Linked DNA regions of Arabidopsis thaliana. The protein of the gene in region 2 interacts with the protein of the main gene of each other region in a pairwise test. Each region holds a gene or a part of one and is shown on either strand. Other genes may lie near its edges.

The links. Proteins that work in one complex are often made in the same cells at the same time.
Region 1: the proteins of AT3G07500 (region 2) and RSZ22 interact in a two-hybrid assay, tested with the Arabidopsis thaliana proteins (one large-scale study listed by BioGRID).

What each region holds. Positions count from the first base shown.
Region 1 is NC_003075.7:15,304,617-15,309,560, reverse strand, and holds RSZ22 (serine/arginine-rich 22), read right to left. Parts: upstream 3,018-4,944; 5' UTR 2,794-3,017; exon of another isoform or gene 2,790-2,793; intron 2,591-2,789; 5' UTR 2,579-2,590; coding exon 2,490-2,578; intron 2,387-2,489; coding exon 2,298-2,386; intron 2,124-2,297; coding exon 1,871-2,123; intron 1,792-1,870; coding exon 1,657-1,791; intron 1,534-1,656; coding exon 1,497-1,533; 3' UTR 526-1,496; downstream 1-525. Other genes in the region: AT4G31570 (nucleoporin), read right to left, coding at 3,525-3,627, 3,692-3,794, 3,892-4,027, 4,121-4,776, 4,850-4,944. UniProt on the Arabidopsis thaliana protein: Sequence-specific RNA-binding protein probably involved in pre-mRNA splicing. In vitro, can complement efficiently splicing-deficient mammalian SRSF7-depleted HeLa cell extract.
Region 2 is NC_003074.8:2,390,666-2,394,327, reverse strand, and holds AT3G07500 (Far-red impaired responsive (FAR1) family protein), read right to left. Parts: upstream 2,113-3,662; 5' UTR 1,942-2,112; coding exon 1,941-1,941; intron 1,396-1,940; coding exon 944-1,395; intron 820-943; coding exon 619-819; 3' UTR 550-618; downstream 1-549. Other genes in the region: AT3G07510 (maternal effect embryo arrest protein), read left to right, coding at 1-433; AGD11 (ARF-GAP domain 11), read right to left, coding at 2,678-3,139.

The DNA of each region.
Region 1 (4,944 bases), on a different chromosome or scaffold from region 2:
TTTGTGGAAAGAGATTGTAACTGTAAATAACTAACAAGAACCAGTTTTCTGACTAAACTGAAACAAGAGAAAGACCAATATTTATTGTATTCTCTGAGGATCTTAGGACATTCTCAACTTAGTGTCGGTGAAAAGTGAAGAAACGTGGAGCAAAAAAAGTGTCGGCAGAGGAAGTGGAATGAGGAGAAGCATAATTGCAGAAAAAAAGCAGAGGTCAGAGAGGTTTACGTCACATAACAATCAATTCAATGATGTGTAAGTGAAGAATGGGACCAAACAGATTTTAATTTGGTGGGTTTGTTGATGATTCTGGGACCGAACTAGGATCATGATCTTGTCTCTCTTGCTTTTCTAGGCTTTTAATTGTTGTCATGCCAAAACAACGTCTCCATGTCTACTTCGCAAGTATACTTTTATTTTTTCACTTAATTTGGGATTTATAGTTGCTGAAACGAAACCATAGCTAGTTGTTACGTGAATAAGAGCAAATCAGATTATGTATTCAATCTTCCTCTTAGGCAATTACTTTGCTTCACCTTCATAAAAGTGAACAATTTCACAACTATGCTTAAGTGAAATGAACACAAGTACCAAATGGTAGCAACTGATACGCATTTACAAATTCTTGACTTGCCTATATAAACCGTGAAATGCACAAAAATCTATCCAAGGACAAGAATGTGCATACTAAACACTATCACATAGCTACAATTATGCTAAACCTAATGCACAACATTCAGACCACACAAGAGGTGCTTCTGAGTGATGCAGCTCAAGTTCATGCAAAGAAGGTAACCTCAAAGCTGATGAAGTTTTCAAACAATAGCGCATCTCTAGGGTCGAAGATGAAGTAGAAGCAAGCCATGTAGGGATCCACAACCGTAGTTAACTTTTCCCATAGCAGGCCGAGTAACTAAACGAAGATGATTCATAGCAGAAGAGTAGAGAAGCAAGTAGATAAACAATGAAGCAGGCCGAGCAACTAAATGAAGATGATGTTAGGGATCCACAACCGTGGTTTAACTTTTCCCATACCAGGCCGAGCAACTAAATGCAGATGATTCATAGCAGAAGAGTAGAGAAGCAAGCAGATAAACAATGAAGTAGGCCAAGAAACTAAGGAAGATGCTTCATATGAGAAGAGTAGAGAAGCAAGTAGATAAGCAATGAAGCAGTAGTAGTAGTAGTAGACCCGAAGAAACCTCGACACGGTGGAAAAAGACAAGAAACGCTTAGGCATTTAGCAGAATTTCCAATCAAACATTATGTCTTTAAGAAACTAGGGTACGAATCAAGTGTTCTTTTACCTATTGGTAGATACACAACTACGTACGTTTCATATCCAAAAGCAAAAGTAGCAAGCTTTATCCAACCCAGCAGACCTAAAACATGTTCTCTTACTGAAATTCATAGATGATAGTAACTTCCCTTAGTCCCTCTCTTCTTCTCTTCCAAAGTATCCTCCCACACACTCGTTTTCTTGCAAAATCACTCACTCAGCTCCTGCTTCTGCGTCTTTCTTTCAGTCCATTTCTGAAGAAACAAGAACAGATGTTGAATTAGCATCTGAAGAAAATGTAAATGTTTATCTCTAAGAACTATAACCAAAACCTAAACACTGATAATGATATAGAGACTTGGGAAAAAGAAATTTACCCATTAGCATATGGCACTTCCTCACGCGCTCTGTATGGAGGTGGTGATCTACTGTAGCTGCGGCCACGGGCAGGAGGAGGAGAAGGACTGCGGCGCCTTGGAGGAGGGGGAGATCTTGCACGAGGGCTGTAACTCCTAAAACCAGAAAAAGGCAAGGTTACTTAATCCGTTCAAAATAAGGTACTAAGGTAACAAAATAAAAAGCATCACTGACCTCCGTCCATAGCTTGGGCTCCTTCTGTATCTTGGAGGAGTGCGACTACGGCTCTTGCTGCGACGCCTTCCAGTTCCACCACGGTTACGGCATTCACGTGCGAAATGACCAGTCTCACCGCATTCATAGCATTTCAAATCAGAGCCACCACGACCACCACGGCCGCCGCCACCACCTCCACGGTCACCACCACGACCGCCGCCACCACGCTCACCTCGATTGTGAGACTGTTCAACCCTCCAGCCATTCTTGCCTATCCGTTATCACAATATCCATGTCAAATTGTGAAGTTTCAAGTCAAAAGTAATTGCAAACCTCAAATTTCTCTCCTTTAAAAGATTCCACCAAACTTATTTTCCAATCCCAATCAAAACATCAACTTCTAAGAGAACAAAGCAAAATAGAAAGAATATGAATGCATCATTACCATCTAAAGCACGGATAGCATCACGGGCATCCCTAGGATCTTCGAAATCTAGAAAAGCGTAACCAGGTGGTCTACGGGCAACCCAAACACTGCACATTACATATGAACATTAGAGAGATGCAAAATTGGATACTTTTAACTTCAAAAGTGACAAAATTGTAGCGCGAACTGATTGATTGGATTGATTCTTACCTCCTGACAACTCCAAAGGCACGGAACTCATCCTCAAGTTCACGCTCAGTAACTCGCGGGTCCAAATTTCCGACGTACACACGTGACATTACTTCTGTAACCTGTCAATGGCACAATAAACCAAGGTCAACATAAAGGAATTCTAAATCTTTTCTAGTAAGACATTCGAAAGGATTTGAATTCATCGAGAAAAAATACAGAGTCACTAGATCCACCAAGTGACCCGATCAAATTTGAACAGATCGGATCAACGTTACCACAATTAAGAGTGAGAAGGAGATAAAGAAACTTGGTTGCGACCTACCTTGTGGGAAGAGCTGAAAGCACTCAAGGGGCAAAAAGAATGGCTTTTTCTGTGTTTTGCTTTGTGAAGAAATTAGGGTTTCTGAATCTGAAATTTGATGAAATACTTTCCAAAGGGTTTTGTAAGCGCGTTAACAAAATTTAGTAAATATACAATTTGGGCCTATTTATTGGGCTTAAAAGTAGCCTTTTCATGCCTTTTTTCAATAATATGTTAGTGTCGGTGATATTTATTTTTTCTCTGTATAGTTTGTTAAATACTTAAATGTGATCATTTCACGTATTTTGCTTTGTATTTCTGAAAATAATGAATAGCAGAATAGGGAAAAAGAAAAATAATAGAACTTCAAGTCTCTCTAGTTAAATCACACTTTCATTCCACAGCTACTAAATAAACTTTCTTTCTTATTCGTTTGAAAACCCAAGCAGTTTGTGATTCGGATCAATAAAAATGCTGAAACCACAGTTTGCTTGGTTAATATAAGCTAAACAATGAATTAAAAACAAAGACAAAGACAAAAAAAAAAAAAAAAAAAAAAAAAAAAAATTAGTGTTGGAGACGACAACACATCACCACTTTGATGAGCCCATGCATGCTATAACGAGAAACCAGCTGCAAATATACGATTAAAACACGTCTTAAAAGCTTAGCAAATCAAGCTACTCTTTGCAACTTGTTTTGGGATTAAAAAAAAAAAAGTCAGTAATGAGCTTACGAAATTGGAAGTTTGGTTAGACCACGAAAGCAGCCAAAAGAGCATGCAATATCGCCCAGTATAGCATGATCCCTAACCGTAAAGCAGGTTGTCTCATGAGCGTCCGATCACAAGAGACCCTGAAAAGTTCAGAAACCAAATAAAAGGGTCGTTTTTTGTTAGATCATAATTAAAGAACTTTACACTGAACGAGATCCATGGATGAAAAGAGTCTGACCATAAACCATCGACCATGTTAGTGATGGGTCTTGTGAATCTAGGAATGATTCTTGACGTAGAGAGTGATCTGAAACCATGAGCTAAAAAACAGAAAAAATACAAATGGGAATGTTACTAAGAAATGTTGTTAAAAGTACTAAATATTCAGAGACAAGTTTAATTACCTTTATCATCATCTTCTTCTAAGCTACCGCTTTGATCAGTTTGATCTGCATCTATACTAATGGCGACTTGATCCATATTTCCCTTACGCAAACTCCGGACTTGTGATGGAATCGATGTTTTTGTCCACTTGTTTATCTGTGATATCCAACAAAAAAAAATCCACAATTAAAAATTTATCATCTTGAGGCATCTGGAATGGTGTAACTATTTAACAAGCTCAAAGCTTACCAGAGGTTCCACTTCAACGATCTCTGACGTCGAGCTTGTTGAAATGTCTTGTTGGGATTCTTTCTCAAGTAAGAATTTCTCAAGAGTTGCTTCTTTCTGTCTGAGCTCAGCCACTCTACTCCTCTCGCCTTCAAGCAAAACGTCCTTGCTTTGTCCAACCAACCGTAATTCGTCTATTTCAGATAGCATAGACGCTATCCTTTTCTCAAATGTCTCCATGTAGTGGTTTATATGACTGTCAGCATCAGTGGACAGCGAATCTTCTATACCAAGTAGTGAAGCTATCGTGTCGAACCAAGACAGTACAGTTTGGATCTCTTCTGAATCTCTCTTAGTGCCCATCTGAGAAGCAGCAAGAGCCTCATTGGTGCACCTAGTGACTTCTTGTCTTAAGAAAGAAACCTCTGTATCCCGATCTTGCACTTGCTGTTGAAGTTTCTCGATTTCAGCAAGAAGATTTTCAGAGAGGTGATGGAGCTCATCGAATTTATCCACAGTAATTGATAGCTTTTTGGAAATCTTCCCACGAGAAGCTTCAGCTTTCTGCAAGTCTAGGTTCTTCTGTTGCACTTCCTGTTCTAATTCTGTAACTCTGAGTTTCAGATCCTCCATCTGAGACTCTTCCTCGTCAAGCGCTTGCATTAAGGCCTCAATTTCTGCAGGAAGCAATTAGGTATCAGCTATATATGTGGCGGTGCAAAAACAAAAGGGTAAAAGAGAAAAACTGACCTAGGTCTTTCGCAGCTAGTAGATCACTAAGAGATGTGACCTTCTCCTGTAATTCTGAGTGTGACGCCTGCCCTGCTAGCAGCTCTTTTACTCTC
Region 2 (3,662 bases):
CGTTGGTCTTTCCTTAGCGACTCCAGGACAACACAGCCTCGAACAACGATCCAGCTGCGACGCAAGTGCTGACGTCGCCAAGAAGCTACTGGTCTTCGAAGTCGTCTCCTTCAGCTTCTTCCTCTTCTCCTCTCTTGTAGCTCAGGGTCTTAAGCTTGCCTTAAACCTTCTTAATAGCAAAGACGTCAACGAGATTTTCAGAGCTCACATCAATATCAAGGTTTTGAGATGGGGAATGATGGCTTCTGCTGTCGGATCTGTAATGGGCTGTCTCTTCTTGATGCTCTCTATGGTTAATGTGATTCAGATCCGTCTTGGTTTGCTCTCTTGCGGCAGCAAATCGGCGGCTCAAGCTGTTGCAACGCTCGTCACTCTGGTTTCCTCTGCTCTGCTGATTTACATCTCTACCGCCATTTACGCTTTCTGGCATTGATGCTATGTCAAAATTGGATAATGTCCATGGCTTTGTTTTGATTAGCCAATGTGTAATTTCATCATCAATGCCTTCCAATCTAGTTTTTTGTTTTTTTGTTTCGGAGAATGAAGAATCAATCACAAGATACAGAACATTGGATTATGAGAATTTGATGTTAAGCTTTTATGAACAGAAATGAAGCATTATGTTTGTTGTTTGGTGAAAGTATTGGACTCAATGTCTCTAACACTTTGGATAACACTATTGATGTTAATGGTGAGATGGTTGGAATGTTCTTCCATCTCCTTAAGGACCATATCAAGCTGCTGTTGCAAAGCAGTACAACGCCTTCTCTCTCGGCTCAGCTCTGCACTCAGCTCCCTAATCTTTGCGTCTTTCTCGTCCTGAAAAGTTCATTTGTACAAGATTTCGATATCATTTTTTGAGCTTTATGTTCTTGGTAACTCTTAGATCAATGCCAATAATCACTGTTTTACTTTTACCCCAAGGAAAAGTGCGTAGACGTACCGGTGTTTGAGGGAGCTGAAAATTCCGGCGAACATTAGGGGAGAGAGGCAAGAGAGGATGATTATGCTCTTTCTCAAATTTAGTAACAAGCCATGTTCCGGATTTCTCTCTTTTCACAACAATCAGAGCTTTACACCCTTCTCTTGTTATAGCCCGAGGCTTTCTACTCTCGCTTCTCCGAGGTCTCGACCTACGAAATCCTTCTTTATTACACACGAGTCTGCGCCACACCACAGTCCCATCTCGCATTGACCTCCTGAAAGCATCCACTCGCATAACGAAACCCATGCATGTAGCGTAATTGTCATAGAAAGACTTTGCAGCCTCTTCTGATTCAAACTCCATACCAATGAACGGCTCCACCATTGGAGAAGCTTCATCTGTGACTGTCTTCATTACATCTGAATTCTCCATCATCTCTACATCTTCTTCGGGTAAAGAGTTCCCTTCCACTGCCACAACACAACACACAAACATCTCAACTCAAAACAAATGATGCAAAGCTATGTCTTGTTCACCAAACCAGAAACTCTCTACCGAATACCTAACCAAACCCTAGAAAATCCTTATAAATTACCCACCCCTTTCTCTAACCAACTCTTAGCAGTTCTAATCTACTACATTCAGTCCTACGCTAGATATAGTGGACACTTCTTCCAAAGTTTATCAAATACACAATGGCTCGAAGATAAGCAGGTCCTCAAGAAGTGACTAATGGAAACATAAACCCTAAACTATGTATTCATAAACCCTAATGAATAGGCAGAGAGTAGCAATTTCAAGTGATATTACTCGAATTCTGAACTTCACCAAAGTGTAATCATGCAAGAAAAAAGAGAAAATCGAGTACATACAAACGCGAAATTGGGAATCAGATTCCATAATTTGATAACAAAAGGGAGCGAAAACCTCAAAATCATCGAAACAGATAGACGAGAATTTGAATAATAGATTGAATTATTGAATAGTAGAAAAGGGATTCGATTGAAGTACTCACTTGGAATGAAGATTAGAAAACTCCAAATTGTGTTTTCTTCAGAGAGAGGAAGTGATGATGATGATGATCTCTGAAGCTCAAGTTAGTAACTGGTAAGCGGTGAAGAAGACGACAAGAAAAAACCAAGATCTGGTCATAAATTCATTCCAGTCTCGCCCGTTGGATTACGAATAGTGCGAAACGGCACGTAGTTTATGTCTTGACGTCACTTGAAGAGTTAAACATCATGTAGTTTATAGTTTTTTCTCTTTTTACTTTTTACTTTGACCGCCTGACTAACATATTCCATGAGACACTTTTTTCCATTACTTTGACCTAAATCTTCACTTTAAAGACATAAATTCGATTGTTTGTTTGTTTTTTTGGGTAGAAATTCGATTGTTTGTTTGTGTTTAATCTTTGTAATTTACAAATACAAATATATTTTCATCATTTTATGATTATAAGCTAGATAGTGATAACTTTTTAAGTGCAACACCCAAATATATAAATAATAAAAGAATCATCAAGTGTTCCCGTAGATTCGCATGGTTATGTTTCAAAATCCGAAAAGCAAATTCATCAACAACATTTTTGTAGGAGCATTCAAAACAAAGCTCACAAAGTTTGTTGAGCTTTTTTCTTTTGCAAATCCATTCATCATCGCTTTCAAGGTTTTGCCCTAATAATCATTCCGAAGAAAAAAATACCCAATGATTTTGGGTCTCAAACCCGAACCCGAAAAATGAGTTTTTTTTTTACAAGTTTGATCCTAAGGCGGCAAATCCACCACCTTTCATCATTTGTTTAAACTCTTTGAAATTCACCATGCCATCTCCATCAACGTCAACTTTGCTTATCATCCTCTTGCAATCCTCTAGGGTTCTTCCTTGTTTGAGCCCCAAGGAAGCTAACACAGACCTTAGCTCTTCCACCGTGATGAACCCGTCCCGGTTCTGATCAAACACGTTGAAAGCCTCTCTCATGTCTTCCTCCTCGTCTCTTTCCTCCATTATCGTCTGGTACAACCCTCCAAACTCTTCGATGTCCACGTACCCATCACCGTTGAGATCAATCTTCTCGATCATCTGCACCAAGTCTTTGTCTGGAATGTAGATTCCTAGATTCTCCAATGAATCATTCAGCTCTTGCTTCGTGATTTTGCCATCACCGTTCCTGTCGAACATTTGGAAGATCCTGGCAAGCTCCGCTTGATCCATTCTTAATTGGAGTTTATTATTTATGAGCTTTGAACAGAGAATGAATGAGAACAAAACTAGAATATGGGTTTATAGAGAAGAAGAGAATTAGGGCAGGAGACAAGAAGGACTGCTTCTTAAAGGAAAAGGAGTGGTTACCATTTTAGAAAACTCATTACAACTGTGATCGTGGTCTGCACCAGTTTTCTGTTGAACTGGTCTTAAAATAGGTTTATGTCCTTCAAGAATACACAAAAACTAAAGTCTATCAATAGAGATACACACGGAATCTACACATTATCTCGTATTTTGTCATCTTCAAAACAGTTTTCCGTTAGGATAGTTATTTCAGGTTAAATCTTTTGAGACTCAATTTATGGTATAGACAAATATAATTCAATTCAAATGCTTATCGTCTGTTTGTATATGTTTGGTTAATTTTCTACAAAACTTATTTATTTATTTTATCTACATAAGATGTAACTTATTCTAAGTGGATTTGTTCTATACACTTCTTTTTTTGTCGATTTGAACATGGCGATGT